Linked DNA regions of Callithrix jacchus. The protein of the gene in region 2 binds, or shares a complex with, the protein of the main gene of each other region. Links are inferred from orthologs where the notes say so. Each region holds a gene or a part of one and is shown on either strand. Other genes may lie near its edges.

Evidence for each region.
Region 1: OBSL1 (region 2) and CCDC8 share a complex: the UniProt entries of both Homo sapiens proteins name them as parts of the 3M complex. The link is inferred for Callithrix jacchus from reciprocal best matches to the Homo sapiens genes OBSL1 and CCDC8.
Region 3: the proteins of OBSL1 (region 2) and MYOM1 are in contact, whole or in part, in a crystal structure (PDB 5FM5), measured with the Homo sapiens proteins. The link is inferred for Callithrix jacchus from reciprocal best matches to the Homo sapiens genes OBSL1 and MYOM1. Residues at the interface, in NP_056126.1 of Homo sapiens: Pro243, Lys253, Phe255, Val257, Asn258, Gly260, Lys261, His262, Ala263, Lys264, Phe265, Arg266, Cys267, Tyr268, Val269, Met270, Gly271, Lys272, Pro273, Pro275, Trp279, Lys305, Tyr308, Tyr317, Cys319, Ala321, Arg322, Asn323, Ser324, Ala325; in NP_003794.3 of Homo sapiens: Arg616, Pro617, Ser618, Ala619, Pro620, Trp621, Thr622, Gly623, Gln624, Ile625, Ile626, Val627, Thr628, Glu629, Glu630, Glu631, Pro632.

The regions. Positions count from the first base shown.
Region 1 is NC_133523.1:40,426,326-40,432,578, forward strand, and holds CCDC8 (coiled-coil domain-containing protein 8), read right to left. Parts: upstream 3,531-6,253; 5' UTR 2,788-3,530; coding exon 1,195-2,787; 3' UTR 605-1,194; downstream 1-604. UniProt on the Homo sapiens protein: Core component of the 3M complex, a complex required to regulate microtubule dynamics and genome integrity. It is unclear how the 3M complex regulates microtubules, it could act by controlling the level of a microtubule stabilizer.
Region 2 is NC_133507.1:141,310,989-141,317,514, forward strand, and holds the start of OBSL1 (obscurin-like protein 1), read right to left. Parts: upstream 3,764-6,526; 5' UTR 3,592-3,763; coding exon 2,580-3,591; intron 792-2,579; coding exon 522-791; intron 437-521; coding exon 185-436; intron 43-184; coding exon 1-42. Other genes in the region: INHA (inhibin alpha chain), read left to right, coding at 4,709-4,973. UniProt on the Homo sapiens protein: Core component of the 3M complex, a complex required to regulate microtubule dynamics and genome integrity. It is unclear how the 3M complex regulates microtubules, it could act by controlling the level of a microtubule stabilizer.
Region 3 is NC_133514.1:60,439,693-60,445,485, reverse strand, and holds part of MYOM1 (myomesin-1), read right to left. Parts: intron 4,983-5,793; coding exon 4,799-4,982; intron 4,056-4,798; coding exon 3,881-4,055; intron 1,050-3,880; coding exon 928-1,049; intron 1-927. UniProt on the Homo sapiens protein: Major component of the vertebrate myofibrillar M band. Binds myosin, titin, and light meromyosin. This binding is dose dependent.

The DNA.
Region 1 (6,253 bases), on a different chromosome or scaffold from region 2:
AAAAAAAATACAAAAATTAGCTGGGTGTGGAGGCGGGTGCCTGTAGTCCCAGCTACTTAGGAGGCTGAGGCAAGAGAATTGTTTGAACTCAGGAGGCAGAGGTTGCAGTGAGCTGAGATCGAGCCACTGTACTCCAGCCTGGGAGACAGGGCGAGACTCTGTCTCAAAAAAAGAAAAAAGAAAAAGAAGGAATTAATGCATAATACACCACAGACCCTCTTTTGGGCCTTTTCCTAGTGCAGTGAGTTTCCAAAGTCCTGCAGCCAAGTTGCCCAGATGTTTGTGGCACCTGATCCAAACAGAATTCAGAGCCACACAGACAGCGCTAGCAAATCCACATCTCTGGCGTCGAGGGCCCCAGAATCTGTTTTTTGAATGCACCTTCTGGATGCCTTTACTGTACCTTATCACCAAGATCGGGTGAGGTGTGAAAACCCAGGGCCCTGTCCCCTCCAAAGCAGCAGAGCCCAGGCGCACGAGGATGACAAGTGAAGTGACAACAAAAACACATGTGTCTCCACCACCAAGGATGGGAGTGGAACGGACAGCAAGGGCCAGGTCACCCCCACAGCATTCGTCACTTGCCAAGTCCAAAGCTAAGAAATCAGTTCGTGAATGTTTTATTTCTATGTTGGCTCAAGCCTTCTTTTTAAGTCCAAGGAGGCAGTCAACATTAAGTGTGCAGGCGAAGGGAGATGGAAACAGAGGCGGTTTCCCCCCTGCCCTCCCTCTCTCCTGTTTCAAACTGAGCACCTTGAGTTGCATCTGAGAAAGCTAAAACTATGGGTGATGCCACCCTATCCTATCGATTTCTTTCCTTACATTCTTTGGGTTGCTACAAGGAATCAGTCTTTTTTTAAAAAATCAGGTGGTGCACATGGTGGCTCACATCTGTAATCCCAGTGCTTTGGGAGGCCGAGGCAGGAGGATCACTTGAGGCCAGAAGTTTGAGGCTGCAGTGAGTTACGATCATGCCACTGCACTCCAGCCTGGGCAACAGAGTGAGACCCTGTCTCTAAAAAATAACAACAAAAAAAATCAAAGCATGAGACTAGATTTTAACAAGAGAATAAAGAGGGTGCTTAGGTGGAGATGTGGGCAGCATCCACCTCCGTTTTCAAGTTCAGAGGCAGAAAGATCAACCTCTCTCCCCCACACGGAGGGAGGGCCTGTGCGCTGTCCCTAGCTCCCACTTCACAGCTGGTCTTCTTGCTCTCCCTGCTCAGCTTCTGCTCTGCCCTCAGCCCTCAGCACTCTGAGGTTCCTGGCCTCACCGGCCCTGGGGACTCTCTTGGGCAGGGTTGGCAACCGGGGAGTGTGCCAGAAGGCTCTCCGGTGCTTGCGAAACCACGAAAAGCGTCCAGGGGTCTGGAACCTCACTGTCTTGACCTGTTTCCGGGCCCTGGCTCCTGAAGCTGTCCCTGTGGTCCCTTGGGCAGCTGAAGCTTCAGCTTCCTGGATGCCTGGGGCACCTGCCCTCTGATTATGTGCAGCCTGGGCCCTCCGATTATCTGCACCCTGGACAGCTGGGGACCTTTCCCTCTGGTCATGTACGGCCTCTTCCCTTTGATTATCTGCAGCCTCTAACCCCTGGTCAGCTGGGGCCTCTGCCCTCTGATTATCTGCAGCCTCTGACCCCTGGTCAGCTGGGGCCTCTGCCCTCTGATTATCTGCAGCCTCTGACCCCTGGTCAGCTGGGGCCTCTGCCCTCTGATTATCTGCAGCCTCTTCCCTCTGGTTATCTTCACCCTCTGGCCCCTGGTCAGCTGCGGCCTCTTCCCTCTGATTATCAGCAACCTCTTCTCTCTGGTTATCTGCAGCCTCTGGCCCCTGGTCAGCTGGGGCCTCTTCCCTCCGGTCAGCTATGGCCCCTTCCCTCTGATTATCTGCAGCCTCTCCCCCATGATTAGCCTGGAAGTCTGCCCCCTGACCTGTGGATGCTGTCTGCTCCTTTCTGTGGAGTCGAAAGGAGGCCCAGTTGATCTTGGGCCTCCATCGCCTGGGGGAGGTCTGGGGCGCACAGGCATCTCCCGCGTTTCCCACGCGATCCCTGGGGCTGGTGCCCTCTGGCGCGGATGATACTCCTGCGCTCCCTGATGCGGTGGAGGACAGCCGGGCCTCACCCACCCCGGGTCCCGCCCTCGGCGCCCAACCCTTCACCCTCCGCTTCAGCTTCCCCCAGGACACCTGGCCGACATACTCCCGCCACCTGTCCGCCTTGGACAGCCGAGGCCCCAGGTTGTCCTCAAACATCGGCACTGGCCGGTTGACGCGACGGCGGGCAGGCGGCGCACTGGGCTGCTTCTCCTCTCGCCGGAGGAAGGCCTCGACCAGTTCCTCATCATCCTCGCTCTCCAGATCGCTGCCCAGGAACTTGCTGCCCAGGTAGCTGACCGGCATCCTGCGCACCGCCTTGCCCCGCCGCGGGCCTTGGCGGCTCTGGTCTCTGGAGGTCTCGAAGTCGCTCAACTCACTGTCGCTGGCATTGCTGCTGTCGTAGGTGCCCACGACCAACCGGGGCGGAGGAGTCACCATCTGCTGCACTCTTCTCCTCACTCGGGGCTCCCTGGGCTTTCTGGGGGGCTGGGGCGGGTGCGGGGTGCTCTTCTCGATGATTCGGGCCACGTCCTCCAGGGTGCGGCCTTCTTCTTCCAGGAACTGGATCAGCCGCTCCCGAAATTCTGCTTCCTTGGTGGCGGGCTTGGAGATGACTCTCCAGACGCCCCCGGCCAGCCTGACCTCCCGGGGGATGAGCAAATAATCGACGTCCTCCCCAATCTGCAGCATCCCCACCGTGGAGTCCTCCTCCTTGCGGAACACCTTCCCGATCTTCTTAAAAGTCCCCACGGGCTTCAGGGCTTCCACGAGGACGTCCAAATCCACATCTTTGCAGACATCGGGGACGCTCCAAAGAATTAGGCAGTCGGGGGACGGGAGGAAGCCCCAGGGGAACCAGCCCCCCACGTGGCTTTTCTCGAGAGTCTTTAAGATCTCCAGAGTGGTATCTGAGGTGAGGGGGCAATGAGCCCCAACAAGCTACAGTCTTGAGGGAGGGACTGGAGGCCGGGGGAGTGCCAGCAACGCTGATCGGAGAGTCTCCTCCCCAGGCCAGGGACGAGCCCACGCCTCCTATCTCTTCGCCTGTACCAAGTCCAGTGTTGACCAAGTCCTGCTCCCTTGCCACGGACTTGGAGGAATCAATTTCCAGGATGCTTACGTGGGCGGGGGCGAGGTCAGTCCCGAGGCTCAAGGCCCACTCCAAGCTGGAAACGTGGTGGTCCAGCTCCAAGTTGGGGCGCGCGAGCTGCCAGCGATTCTTCCTGCCCCAGGCACCGGGGACGCGGCTGGAACTTGGAAGAGGAATTCGCAGACAAAGACGGTCCAGCCCAGGCTATTCAATATGGCCGAGGGGCTGGGAGGCCTCAGCCGGGCCCCGCAGTTGGGTACCCCGCCCCCAGGCAGGCCGCCACCCAGCTCCAGGCTGACCTTGACACGCTGCAGCCTGCCAGGCCGCGCGCTTAGGGCTCTGCACCTTGGAGCGCAGGGGCAGGAAGTTCCTCCTCGCCTTCCCCTAGAACGAGGCCCACCTTCCCCGTCTCATCTTACACTCCCGGACTCGGGAAGACTGACAGGGGGGCTGTCCACTCCCTTCGGGGCGGCCTCCCTCCCCTCCCCCACAGGGGTGTGGCCGCGTCCCGGGCCTAACTGGGCCCATTGCTTCCCAGCGAAGCGGCTGTAGCCCACGTCAGCACCTTTCCTGAAAGGCAGCGGTTTCCAGACCTGCCCTCCGAAATGGACAAGTCCCAGCCAAACCCCGGAGGTGGCTGTGCTAGTGGATTCGACCTTTTGAGGGCCACTGGCACTATAGATGAGCATGTTAAATTCACGCGACCATCGGTACCCGTACACCCACACACGTGGGTAGAGAAATGGGTACCAGGTTCTTATTGCAACAGTCCCACTGTGGCGCGTGGCACAAGGTCGGGGCTCAATGCATAGTTTTGAGTGGATGAATAACCTAAACGTTCATGGCCCGGGGCGGTGGCTCACACCTGTAATCTCAGCACTTTGGGAGGCCGAGGCGGGTGGAACAAACACTTGAGGCCAGCAGTTCGAGAGAAGCCTGGCCAACGTGGTGAATCCCTCCTCTGTACAAAAAAAAAAAAAAAAAAAAAAAAAATACAAACATTTGCCGGGCTCGGCCGGGGGCAGTGGCTCAGGCCTGTAATCCCAGCACTTTGGGAGGCTGAGGTGGGCAGATCACGGGGTCAGGAGACAGACCATCCTGGCTAACACGGTGAAACCCTGTCTCTACTAAAAATACAAAAAAATTAGCCAGGCATGGTGGTCGGTGCCTGTAATCCCAGCTACTCAGCAGGCTGAGACAAGAGAATCACTTGAACCCGGGAGGCGGAGGTTGCAGTGAGCCAAGATCAGCCACTGCACTGCACTCCATCCTGAGCAACAGTGAGACTCGTCTCAAAAATAAAAAAGAAATTAGCCAGGCGTGGTGGTGCCCGTGCGTAGTCTCAGCTACTCTGGAGGCTGAGGCAGGAGAACTGCTTAAACCCAGGAGGTGGAGGTTGCAGTGAGCCAAGATCGAGCCACTGCACTCTAGCCTGGGTGACAGACCTAAATTCCGTATAAAATAAAAATTTAAAAAATAGCCGGGCGTAGTGGTGTGTGTGTGTAGTCCCAGCCACTCTGGAGGCTGAGGCAGGAGAATCTCTTGAAGCTGGAGGTGGAAGTTGCAGTGAGCCGAGACTGGGCCACTGCACTCCAACCTGGGTGACAGAGGGAGACTCTGTCTCAAAAAAAACAAAAGTGCAAAGAGCACAACAACAACAACAACAAAATCCCTAAAAGTTCATGAGCAGAGACTGCCTCTATGTGATGGTAGTGTCTTACAGTGAAATATTTCGCAGCGTTGAACAAAACGAGATGGCTAACCGTAGGCCCGGCTTATGAGGCACTTCCTACCTTTCTAAGAATGAACTTGAGAAATCCTTGCTATGACAGGAAACTCGTAACATGAGTACCATTCCCATTAGACAGCTGAGGAAACTGAGGCCCAAAGACATAAAACCACTCTCTCAAGGTCAAGTCAGGAAGTGGTTGTTTGGATTTGAATCCAGAATAACCTGCCTTCGGTGTCAACATGTGTACCAATGCTGGTCACATGTACAAGTATTGCCAAGAGTGGCTGTTTCTAGGGAGGAGGACTGGGAGTCCCCAAAAGGTGGGGGAGAGACATGTACTTTTCACTCTATACCCTTTTGGAATGATTGAATTTTTAGCAATCAAAAATGTTAATTAAAGCCTAGTGAGGTAGTCCAGGCCTATAATCCTAGCACTTTGAAAGGCCACGGCCAATGAATCGCTGGAGCCCAGGAGTTCCAGACCAGCCAGGGCAACGCGATGAAACCCCATCTCTACAAAAAGTCAAAAAGGTATTGGGAGGTGATGACGCAGTAGTCCCAGCTACTGGGGAGGCTGAGGTGGGAAGGTAGCTTGAGCCCAGGAGGTTGAGGCTCCAGTGAGCTGTGATCATGTCACCACACTCCAGCCTGGGTGACAGAGTGAGATGCTGTCTCAAAAAAAAAAAAGAAAGAAAAAGAAAGGTAATTAAAATACACATAAAAACAACAAACAAACTTACATAAAATCGAAAGTCAGACCACACAACGCACATAAAGGGTCGGAATGCCCAGGATGTGGGGAATGTGGGGAATTTGCAGTGTCTCAGGTAATTCTGAGACAACCAGCTCGGCAAATGTACACCAACCACAACAGTGGGACTAGTAGTAATAACAGTTAACTTGCATTGAGTGTATCTTTGGAACAAGGCATCCAGAGATATGCTGAATGGGCCTCGTTGTTAGGAATCCTCAGAGGTGCATGGTAAGACGAGTGCCATCACGATCATCTTTTTACGGATGGGGAAACCGCGGCTGGTCTGAAGTCGGAAGGCTGAGGCAGGAGAATCGTTTGAACCCAGGGAAGCAGAGGCTGCAGTGACCCGAGATCGCGTCATCGCACTCCAGCTTGCGCAACAAGAGCGAACCTCTGTCTCAAAAACAAAAACAAAGACAAAAGTTAGCAGGGTGTGGTAGCACATGCCTGTAATCCCAGCTACTGGGGAGGCTGAGGCACGAGAATTGCTTGAACCCGGTAGGCGGACGTTGCAGTGAGCCAAGATCGTGCCACTACACTCCAGCCTGAGCTACAGAGCAAGACTCCGTCTCAAATAAAT
Region 2 (6,526 bases):
TCTCTGCCGACACGGGGGGCCCTGGGGGACTGTGCTTGATGCCTGAGACCAAGGCAAGGATGTGTTCCAGCCTTGCTCGGGCCTCCACAGCCCTTCCACCTTAAATCTGCTTCTCCAACCCAGCTGGGGCATCTGGCCAACCTCCCACCCTGGCCCGCCTGTCCAGAGGCCTTCCTGCCCTCACATTTGACTCTGAGCAGCGCAGTGGTATGGGAGTTGCCCAGGCTAAAGGTGACCTCGCCAGCATCTTCTCGGGTGACCCCTGGAAGGACCAGTGCATGCATGTGGCCCGAGGTGGTCTGGCAGATGGCCGGCAGCTCCTCTCCATCACGACTCCACCGTCCCTGGACCCCGGCCTCTAGAGTTTCCACCAGCAGCACCGCATTCTCTCCTTCCAGGACATCAAGCTTCCGGGGCAGGCGCTTCAGGATGGGCCCTGAGATGCAGACAGGAATCCATCAGCCTGGAGTCTGAGCACCTGCCTGCCTCTGCCTCAGCCCCTTCCCTGTGGGCCAGCCGACCTTTGACTGTGACATTGGCCACAGTGCGCACCCGGCCCCGCATCTCACACAGGTAGACACCGTCGTCGTCTGCCTTCAGCCTGTGGATGATGAGGCGCCGGACGGTGCCCTCTTCAATCTGCTCGTACTTGCGGCAGGGCAGCAGCCGCTGGTCCTCTCGGAACCAGGCCGTGGGGATGCGGGAGTTGGGTACTTTACACTCCAGCACGGCAATCCCGTGCTCACGGCCCTCCACATCCTGCAGGGGCCTTGTGAACCGGAGGCGGGGCTCTATGGAGAGGGGAGAGACAAGAGAGGGCTCTGGAGAAGGGCTAGACTAGGAGGAGGACTCCTCAGAGCGCATTAGTTCAGGCTGGGTGCTCTTCACGCAGAGCCAGCAGGCACAGTGGAATCACAGAAAACCACCAGAAGGCAAGTGGTAGTTCCTAAGATGGCCTAAGTTCTCATCCGGGCCTGACACTTACTAGCCGCATCACCTTGAGAGTCCATTTCAATGTTTCTGAGCCTCAGTCTCCTTACTTGGAAAATGGGAACAGAGAGGGAAAGGGTTGGACCACATTGGTGATTTCCAAACTGTTCCTGCCCCCACTCCCCCAGGTATTTCATATATTCCACAAAGGCCTGAGTAGAATTTAAAATATTTTAACTCTTTTCAAAAGTGTATTTCGGTCAGGCAAGGTGGCTCCTGCCTGTAATCTCAGCAATTTGGGAGGCCAAAGTGGGTGGATCACCTGAGGTCGGGAGTTCGAGACAAGCCTGAGCAACAAGGAGAAATCCCATCTCTACTAAAACACAAAATTAGCAGAGTACTGTGGCGCATGCCTCTAATCCCAGCTACTTGGGAGGCTGAGGAAGGAGAATGGCTTGAACCTGGGAGGCAGAGGTTGCGGTAAGCCAAGATTGCACCATTACACTCCAGCCTGGGCAGCAAGAGCAAAACTCTGTCTCAAAAAAAAAAAAGTGTATTTCAAAAAAAAGAAAACAGGATGTTAGAAACCAGGTTAACTTAGATTGCTGGAAAAGCAAGTTTTTTTTGTGTGTGCAACTCTGGGAAGCACCTCTAGCCCTCCCTCAGGGCTTTTCCTCCCTGATGGAGGTCCAGATCCACATCAGCCTGGCGAATCTGTGCACATCGAACTGTACCAGTGAGGCCACCACCACAGCCTGGGGGGGCCACATGCTTGACTGCATGCCAGGCAGGACTCAGGATAATTTACCAACTTTGTTTTTCCTCCTAGAGAAAAATCTGGACAACTAGTGAAGGCGTAATCCTTTGCACTGTGATGAAATACTGTTATGGAGACTGTTACCTTCCAGTGAGTTTGGGGTGTGTTTTTTTCCCTTTGAATTTTCTGTTTATGAGAATGTAAGCATTTATTGGATATTGTTCCTTCACCTTCCTCTTCTTTCAAAAGTGGGGAGCAGTTTAATCAAAGAACAGTAAAAACATTCAGGAAATTTGTCCACCCTCAAGTCTACCTTTCCACTGAAACGGTGGTTTCTCAAGGTGACAGATGCAGCCAGGCCGTCCCCTCTCCACGGGGTTCAGAGCCTGAACCACGAATGCAGCCTTCACTTCAAATGCCTATATTCAATAAAACGGCCTCCTGATTCTCACTGATGCTTTAGAAGCCTGTTACACACGTAGACTTAGCAATTTACACCCATAAAACACTCCTTTATCTGTTTCATCTATTGGGGCTCCGGTTGTGAATTCAGTTGGGGAAGGAGGAGTAAAATAACAAAGACGATGAAAACCACTAGGGGAGAAGAGTTCTAGGCCCTTCTAGGTTTGTACATCAATCACTTCTTAGTGGTGTTCCACCATCTGCCTCAGAATCACTTGGGGAGTTTTCTAAGAAGTTGCTGAGCACCCTGGAGACCTACTAAATCCGAATCCCTGGGGAGTGGGAGGCAGGCGGGTTGGGTCTTTTAATATTCCCGCCGACCTCCCCTCCCCCAGTCTTCAGGGCAGCGCCGGGCACCGAGAGGGGCCGGGGTTCGGCGGGCCTCCGAGGACACTCAAGGCCGCTCCCCGGGCCCCGGGCGCTGCCGTACCTTTCACGTGCAGCTGCACTGCGCTGAGCGTCTGGCCCGCGGAGTTGCGCGCGGCGCAGACGTAGAGCCCGCGGTCCTTGGCCTGGCAGTAGAGCACCTTGAGCACGAAGCCGCCGTCGCGGTCGCGGTACATTAGGCGGCGGCGGTCCGGGAGCAGCGGGAGGCCCTCCCAGTGCCATTCGATCTCGGGCTCGGGCTTGCCCATCACGTAGCAGCGGAACTTGGCGTGCTTGCCCTCGTTCACCCAGAAGGTCTTGGGCGCGCACTTGAGCGGCTCCACCACGGGCGCGGGGGCCTCATCGGGGTCCGCGGGCGGGCTCTCAGGGGGCTGCTGCACCTGGAGCAGCGCGCCAGCCTGCGCGTGGCCGTGCGCGTTGCGGGCGTGGCACACGTAGACACCGGAGTCCGGCAGCCGCGCGGCCAGGATGCGCAGCGCCAGGCTCGCGCCCGGGCCGTCCTCGGCCCGGCCAGGCTCCAGAGCGAAGTGGCTGCTGTCCCACACTTCGTCCAGCGCCATCCCGTCCTTCTCCCAGTACAGCGTGGGCTCGGGGAGGCCCCCGGCCTGGCACGTCAACACCACCTCCGCCCCCCGCAGCACCCACTGGGACCGCGGCCCCGCCAGGAAGACCGGGGCGCCCTCCCCGGACCCCGGCGGCGGCAGCGGGAGCTCGGCGGGCTGCGGCTCGGGCTCGGAGGCCGGCGGCTCCAGCACGGTGATGGCGGCCGCCGCGTAGGCCTCTCCGGCCACATTGCGGGCGCGGCACACGTAGACCCCCGCGTCGGTGGGCAGCGCGCCGTTCAGCAGCAGGCCGTGCTCCGCGCCGTCCGCCAGGAAGCTCAGGCGTTCCGAGGCCGCCAGCTGCTGCCCGCCCTTCTCCCACACCACGACGGGCGGCGGCTCCCCCAGGACCACGCACTTGAGCTCGGCCTCGGCGCCACTTACCACCCGCACGGGCCGCGGGAAGCGCAGGAAGCACGGGGGGCTCCCCTGGTCCCCCGAGCTTGCCTTCATCGCGGCGGCCACAGACCGCCCGCAGTGGCGAACCAGGGAGGGTGGGCGGAGGGCGAGCCGAGGCCGGAGGCGGCGGCGAGGGCTCCGGGACCGGGGCGCGGGGATCCGCGGAGTTCTCCCAGGCTGCCCGCTCCCTGCTCGCCTCCCTGTCCTCGGTCTGGAGCTGCAACTCTGCGGCGGCGGCGATTCCCTGACCCAGAGCCCGGCACTTAGGGGGCAGTCCTTCCTGTTTGGCTCTCCAGCGAGGGGCCCCGCAGCCTCCTCTGCCTGCGGCCTGGCTTCCTGCTCTGGGGAGGCTCTCTTCCCAGCCCCCTCCCACAGCTTGGGCCTCTTTCCCCTCCTCCCTCCCACCTCCAGTCACCAGGTCCCCAGCCGCCTGCCCGCCAGGCTTGGGCCTGAGTGGCAGAGGCGCCTGCAGCTGCCAATCCCAAAAATATTCTCTGATGACACAGCTGGAGGACAAGAGCCCAGACTGGCTCCTCTGGGCTAAGTATAGAGCAGGCGGGACCACCTGGCCCCCGCCCTAGCTCCGGTTCTAGCCCTGGCCCCAGCCCTTCCCCCAGTGGCTGGCCTGCCCAGCAGCTGCTCATTGAAAGGGGCCCCAGAAGGTCTGAGGGGTGGTGCACTCTGTCTCCTGGACAAATGACACTTTCTGGGGCTGGCCGGCTACAGCTCCCAGGCTTGATGTCACTTCTGGATGTGAGACTGTGTGTGTGTGTGTGTGTGTGTGTGTGTGTGAATAGGGAGTTGATGTCCCCTCTGGATGTGTGTGTGTGTGTTTGTGTGTATGTGTGCAGGGAGAAGGGGTTGTATGTTTGCATGAGGGTCGGGTCGCTTGGGGCGAAACCCTCTCCAGCCCCTCCCCCACATTCCTGGCGGGAGTGGGAGATAAGGCTCATGGCCACAGGCATCTACGTCAGAGATAGGAGGTCTCAATGCCACGGGCAGGGGCAACTCGGACTGTGGGGCGTGGGAAGGACTGGGGAAGACTGGGTGAGAAGCATACAAGAGGGTGGGTGTGGGATGAGGAGGGGAAAGCAGGGAGGCCCTGGGCACACCCTGGCAGAAGGGGCACAGGGCAGGGAGTGGGTTCCCCGCTAGTAGGGCCAGGTGAGCCATGGCACTGCCACTGCTGCTCTTCTTGCTGCTGGCCCCACAGGGTGGACACAGCTGCGAAGGGTCAGAGCTGGCCCGGGAGCTTGTTCTGGCCAAGGTGAGGGCCCTGTTCCTGGATGCCTTGGGGCCCCCGGCAGTGACCAAGGAAGGTGGGGACCCTGGAGTCAGGCGGCTGCCCCGAAGACATGCCCTCGGGGGCTCCACACGCAGGGGATCTGAACCCGAGAAGGAGGATGTCTCCCAGGCCATCCTTTTCCCAGCCACAGGTAACAAGGGTGGGGGAACCGACAGGGTGACTGAGAAGCTGCCAGGCACAACATGGGTTTGCAGGCCAGGTGGACCAGGGTTTGAATCCCAGCCCTGTCATTCAGCGTCTTTGCAACAATAGGCCAGTTACTAAACCTCCCTGTGCCTCTATCTCCCCATCTATAAAATGGGCGATAACGCCTACCTCTCAGGATTGAGATGCTGCACCCAGAGTGCGTGGCATGTGGGAGGCATTTGGGAGGGATGCACCAGGAGACCAGGGGTCTGTAGAGATGCGGCTGGGCTGGCCACCTTTCTTCCTATCTCTGCCTCTGCTTGCTACTCCAATCCCTGTTTCTTTAGTCCCAGGTAGCTGAGACTGAGAAGCCATCAGAGATACAGGCAAAAGATTGGTTGGGAAACTTTTCTGGAGAACTTGTCTATCTTCTCTTGAGTTCCTGTCTCAACTTATGTGTGTCCTCTTGTTCCACTGACTGAACGGATAAACCCTCTTCCGGGTGGCCTTTCTTGTCATCTAGTCCACCTTTCTCTTAGAGGGTTCTCTTAGAGAGGACCCCTGCCTCCCTCACTTCACCCCCTCCACAGCACCGTGGGGAAAAGGATGGCTTTGGGCTCAGGCAAAATCCCAGCCTGGCCACTTAGTTGTTGAATGTCATTTCACCTCTCTAAGCCTCAGTCTCCTTATCTGCAAAATGGACCAATTTGTAATATATAATGGGTGCTGCTCCAGTATGATTAGTATAGTCTACGAGTGTGTCAGTGTAAGGATGCTAACTGCACATTCTTTGTTTCTGAGATAGAATTTTGCTCTTGCTGCCCAAGCTGGGGTGCAATGGCACGATCTCGGCTCACTGCAACCCCTGTCTCCCGGGTTCAAGCTATTGTCCTACCTCAGCCTCCCAAGTAGCTGGGATTACAGGCTCGTGCCACCACACCCAGCTAATTTATTCTATTTTTAGTAAAGACAGCATTTCACCATATTAGCCAGGCTGGTCTTGAACTCCCAACCTCAGGTGATCCACCCACCTCAGCCTCCCAAAGTGCTGGGATTACAGGCATGAACCACTGTGCCTGTCCCCAACTGGACATTCTTGAAAGGATTGTCCTCTGTTCTGAGTTACAACCCTTCTCCTCCTCTTCCCCCTCCTCCTTGTTCTTCGTTTTCTTCTCCTTCCCACTCCCCTTTCCCTCCTTCTTCTTAGTTTTTTGCTGGTAACTTGTCTTTTAAAAATGGAATTAAAGAATTTATCATAATTGTATGATATGCAATATTCCTGACATGCCAAAGAGAGTAATATGGCTTGGTGTGATGGCTCACGGCTATAATCCCAGCACTTTGGAAGGCAAAGGCAGGCAGATTGATTGAGCTCAGGAGTTTGAGATCAGCCTGGGCAACATAGCAAGAGCTTGTCTCTACAAAAAATAGAAAAATGAGCTGGGTGTGGTGGCATACGCCTCTGGTCTCAGTTACTCGGGAGGCTGAGGTGGGAGGATTGCTTGAGCCCGGGAGGTAGAGGCTGCAGTGAGCCATGATCATGCCACTACACTCCAG
Region 3 (5,793 bases), on a different chromosome or scaffold from region 2:
TTTATTTATTTATTTTAGACACAAGGTCTTGCTTTGTTGTCCAGTGTAGAGTATAGTAGTGCGATCATAGTTCACTGCAGCCTTGAACTCCTGGGCTCAAATGATCCTCCTGCCTCAGTCTGCTGAATAGCTGAGACTATAGGCATGCACTACAATGCCTGGCTAATTTTTTTGATTTTTTTTTTTTTAGAGATGGGATCTCACTGTGTTGCCCAGGGTGGTCTCGAACTCCTGGACTCAAGAGATCTGCCCACCTCTGCCTCCCAAAGTGCTGGGATTACAGGTGTAAGCCCCCGTGCTCAGCCCACAAATACAATTTTTATTGTTTCTAACCACCTCTATCCCTCCTTCTACTTTATCCAAGATTGGGAGGTACATCACATACACACATATAATTACTTTATTACTGGTTTTATTCTGTTGGTTACTTTGCAAGTAGAGATGAAATATATGATTAAGCAACTACATGTGCATTGCATGAATTTCAGAGGCATTTATAAGAAGCATATTAATATTCTGTTAGCGAAGACAAGCTAGGCTCTGGCATAGATGAAATGGCTTTTAGAGACAAGATGATCTGTGTTATTGGTGATGTACCACTTCATGGAATCAGGATGGCCCTTCATAGTCCCAGGATGAGCACGAAATTAGAATGGAGTTTCACACAATGGGAAATATCTGAGGAAACTTGGACTCCTGAAGATGAAAAGGCTACGGATGCACAGAATCTGGATAAGTGATGAAGGTCTGTAAAATGACAGCTATGGAAGGTTAGACATCACCTAGAGTCAGAGAAAATATTCATCTAAGGATGCAATAATCCAGGAATAGTGGAAGCTTTAAACAATTTCTAGAGAGGATGACATCTTCCTTTCTAACATAGAAAAATCCATTTTTCCTCTATGCAGTTGTGCATGAGGAACTTACCAATAGCAGCTTTGACTTCAATAGCTTCTGAATCCTGGGAATATTCACTAAGTCCAGCTGCATTGACTGCTCTGACCCGGAAAATATAACTCTGACCAGTCACCAATCCATGACAAGTAAATCTAAAAGAAAACAAATTTTTTTAAAATTTTTCTTAGGAGGAAGATTAAGGAAGATTATTGTTAGCTTAATGGAGTAGATCTGGCGTTATGAAAACAATTATTATTATTTTTTTGGGGGGGAATTTATGATCAATAGAAACAGGGTCTTGCTGTTTTGCCCAGGCTGGTCTTAAACTCCTGGCCTCAAGCCATCCTCCCTCCCACCTCAGCTTCCCAAAGTGCTGGGATTACTGGTGTAAGCAGCATGTCCAGCTAATAATTCTTTTTTTTTTTTTTTGAGTCAGAGTCTTGTTCTGTTGCCTAGGCTGGTATGCAGCGGTGAGATCTCGGCTCACTGCAAGCTCCACCTCCTGGATTCAAGCGATTCTCCTGCATCAGCCTCCCAAGTAGCTGGGACCATACGTGTGTGATAATTCATTTTTTGAAAGAAAGAAAAAGATGTAGAAAGATTCAGGTAACATATATACTTTAGAAAGAAGGTAACTAAGGTGCTTTTCTAAACCTACTTTGTCAAAAAATGAGGAGCCCTGGTCTTCCTCTGAATGCTCACCGGTAAAATAGGGATAATGATGCTTACATGATAATATTCATGTAGAGTTAATTATAAAGTATATGAAGTACCTATTATACGGTCTGGCATATATGAGGCATTTAATAAATAATAGTTAATAGTAATAATGTTATTTAAGAAATAATTTTAGAGTATAACTCACATATAGTTTTTAACTTTTAGGCTCAGGGATACATGTGAAGGTTTGTTATATTGGTAAACTCATGTCACAGGAGTTTGTTGTACAGATTATTTTATCATCCAGGTATTAAGCCTGATATCCAATTAATAATATGATTAATTGGTGGCTCCTTGTCATAGAGGCTAGTCACTGTCTCCCTGGATGCCAAGGAAGGTACTTACTTGGGAAATCACTCTAGAATCTGAAGATAAGGTGAACAATGAATTCTAGAATTACTATTTAGATATGAGGATCCAATAATGAAGTGTGAATCCATGGGCAGTTTCATCCACAAGACAACCTCACTCTTTTCATAGCTATCATGGCTATAAATAGCTGTTCATGAATCACTGTAACATTTGAATCCATCCTAAGGATTGCAGCCAGAGGAAGTAACAGGTCTGCTAATGAATCTATGACTATTAGCATGTTCAAGTATTTAATAAAGGAGCCATAATCCAGGCCAGTCCTTCAGTCCTTAGGGTCAGCTTGCTTCAGCGAAGATTTATTGAGGTCTCCGTGTTCCAGACACTGAGCTAGGAGTTACTGTGGACAAAAGATGAACAAAAAATGGTTCCTGCCCCCCAGCAGCTCCTGCCTACACACCACCAGTGTTTCTAAATGGTCCTAGGAAAATGCTGGGTAACTCAGAGGAAAAATGAAATGCACCAACAGGCTAAATGAATCTTTTTCAAAACATATTGCCTTCCCTAATTAATCTGTTTGCCTCTATTCTCTCATGTTGTGCAAAACCAACTCATCCTATGGGGGGGTCCTCGGATTGAGAAGTGATCCAAGCCAGAAGCTGCCGAACAAAACTATTTGACAATTTTGGGGACGGTGGCATCCCCGTCTCAGACTGGTCTCTGGTCTGGGTGTAGACCAGAATTCACCATCAATGTGCAAAGCCGATTGATAAAATAGTTGAAAGCAAGGAAAAAACCAATGCTCCCCCATTAAAAACAGATACAAAGAGGCAGCAAAGTATTGTGAATATCTTAGTTTTGGTGTTACTTATGTCTGTGTAGCATTTGGGTTTAATCATGTTGATGTTCAGAATTTGTAAAATGTTGATACTTTTTCTCTCTTCATTTAAAATTCCTGGGTGATTTATGTTAAGTAGAGTATGTTAGATCCTCAGAATCTAGTATCAGGTTTCATATTACATACAAAATCAGAGGGGTAAAAAAGGAAGAAGCAGCATAAAGGAAAAAAACGGAAAAGCACTATTAAATGAACTCTTACAATAGCTGGCATTATATGTTGCTAAGTGTTTCATCACAAGTAAACCTTTTTAAAAAGATGTATTGCATCTAATATGTTCAATTTTAAATTCATTTAAATGTCTTAAGTGTAATCGGTTTTTTTGTTTTTTTTTTTTGAGACGGAGTCTCATTCTGTCTCCAGGCTGGAGTGCAGTGGTGTGATTATAGCTCACTGCAGCCTCGACCTCCCAGGCTCAAGTAATTCTCCCACCTCAACCTCTTGAGTAGCTAGGACTATAGGCACACTACTATGCTGGGCTGATTTTTATGTTTTTTGTAGAAGTGGGTTTTTGCCATGTTGCCCAGGCTGGTCTCAAATGCCTAGGCTCGAGCAATCTGCTCACCCTGACCTCCCAAAGTGTTGAGATTACAGGTATGAGCCATCATACCCAGCCTTGTTCTGATTTCCTTTTTTAGAGATGGGTCTTCCTATGTTGCCTGGGATGGAATATACTGGCTATTTACAGGCCTGGTCAATGGGTACTACAGCTTCCAACTCCTCAGCTCAAGTGATCCACCCACCTCAGCTTCCTGAGTAGCTAGGAGTACAGGCCTGTCACTGCATCTGGCTTATTTAAAGTATAATGTTATTTTGTTATTTTTATTTTTAAAGATGGGGTCTCACTGTTGGCCAGGTTGGTCTTTAACTTCTGGCTTTAAGCAATCTTCCCACTTCAGTCTCCCAACGTGCTAGGATTACAGGTGTAAGCCACCGCATCCGGCCAAAAAGTATAATGTTTTTTTAAAAAATCTCCCTCACTGGATGTCTGTGTGCCATGTGTGTCTATAGCAGCTCCAGAGGCCATGGCCCGCTCTGCACGCCTGGTTCAGTTACCGTGAGCCCTTCACAGGGTTGTTGTTACAGGGCTCCCATTTGCCAGAGCCAGCAACGCTCGCCTCTATGTAGTACCCGACCAGCTCTTTGGCATCTTTGGACTCCTCCCACGTAACTACTACTGAGGTGTCTGTGTTTCTGCTTGGGATGATGTTGCCAGGAGCCTTGGGGATATCTGAGAAAGAGGAAAACAGTGATCAAACTCAGGTGGTTTTAAAAAGTCATCCTTATCACCTATGCACAAACAGACCCCCAGGTATTTTACACACTTCATCATGTCAAAAGGACAGCTGCTTTTATGGTTTTTTTTTTTTTGAGACCGAGTCTTGCTCTGTTGCCCAGGCTGGAGAGCGATGGCAGTGAGCAGTACAGGCTCAGCTCACTACAGCCTTCACTTCCCGGGTTCAGGCAATTTTCTTGCCTCAGTCTCCCAAGTAGCTGGGATTACAGGCATGCGGCAGGATTCCCAGCTAATTTTTGTATTTTCAGTAGAGATGGGGTTTCACCATGTTGGCCAGGCTGGTCTCAAACTCCTGGACTCAGGTGATCTGCCTGCCTTGGCCTCCCAATGTGCTCAGATTACAGGGGTGAGCCACCAGGCCTGGCCTACATTGTATCTTTTAAAGCAGAAAATTAAAAAACTGTTAGTAAGGGAGCATGGATACACTAAATATCTATGAACTTCAGAAAAAAACACATTATCAATATTGTTGAAACTCCCAAGGAAGTTTACTTTTCATTAACAAAAACACTGAATTGTTGTTTAATGTATAGGCTAAGTTTATAATGTGAAAGAACTAAATTTATAATGTGAAAGAAAGATGTCACCATTTTTACTCCTGGCCAAATATACATATACAACTTAGATTCCTGCTTTAAAATTTTCTCTTAAAGTAAAAGAAGTTTACAGTTGCTTACCAAGTTTGTCCCCTACCACAGTCACCTCCGTTGCCTCGGAGGGCTCACCAACTCCTGCAGAATTAGAACAGCGGACGCGGAAACAGTAGGATTTCCCCTCAACCAGGTCGAACAGTGCAAAGCGGGGAGACTTCACAGGGAGCTCCGTGTTCACTCGCTGCCAATTTTCTGTTCCTGCCTCACACTGTAGCAAAAACAAGGAAACCCACTGAAAGCACAGCAAGCACAGGCGAGGCATCCCCAAGTTTCATTCATCTGCAGCAAACCACTCCCTGTAATGTGAGCTGGACTGGAGGAGAGATTTGGAGGAAATGGGGGATGAGGCATCTAAAGTTCTCAGGATTCGCTAAATCAAATATGGCTTTTGATATGGTTTGGCTGTGTCCCTGCCCAAATCTCATCTTGAATTGTAGCTCCCATAATTCCCATGTGTGTGGGAGGGACCTGGTAAGAGATAATTGAATCATGGGGATGGTTCCCCCCATACTGTTCTTGTGGTAGTGAATAACTCTCACGAGACCTGATGGTTTTAGAAGAAATTTCTTTCACTTGGCTCTCATTCTCTCTCTTCCCTATCGCCATGTAAGACATGCCTTTCACCTTCCACCATAATTGTGAGGCCTCCGCAGCCACGTGGAACTGTGAGTCCTTTAAACCTCTTTTTCTTATAAATTACCCAGTATCAGGTATGTCATTATCAATGGGATGAAAATACAGCTTTGTATTGTTTGAAAAATATACTACTTTAATAGTTCACTTCCTTTGTTAATGAAATACAATAATTAAATCCTTCAAAAATCTTATTTTGAAGATAGTCTGGAGTCAGGCAATTTCCTAATTTTAATTAAATTTTATTTTATTTTATTTTTGAGACAGGGTCTTACTCTGTCACCCAGGTTAGAGTCCAGTAGTACAATCAGGGCTCACTGCAGCCTTGACCTCCCTGGACTCAAGTGATCCTTCCACTTCAGCCTCTTGAGTAGCTGGGACTACAG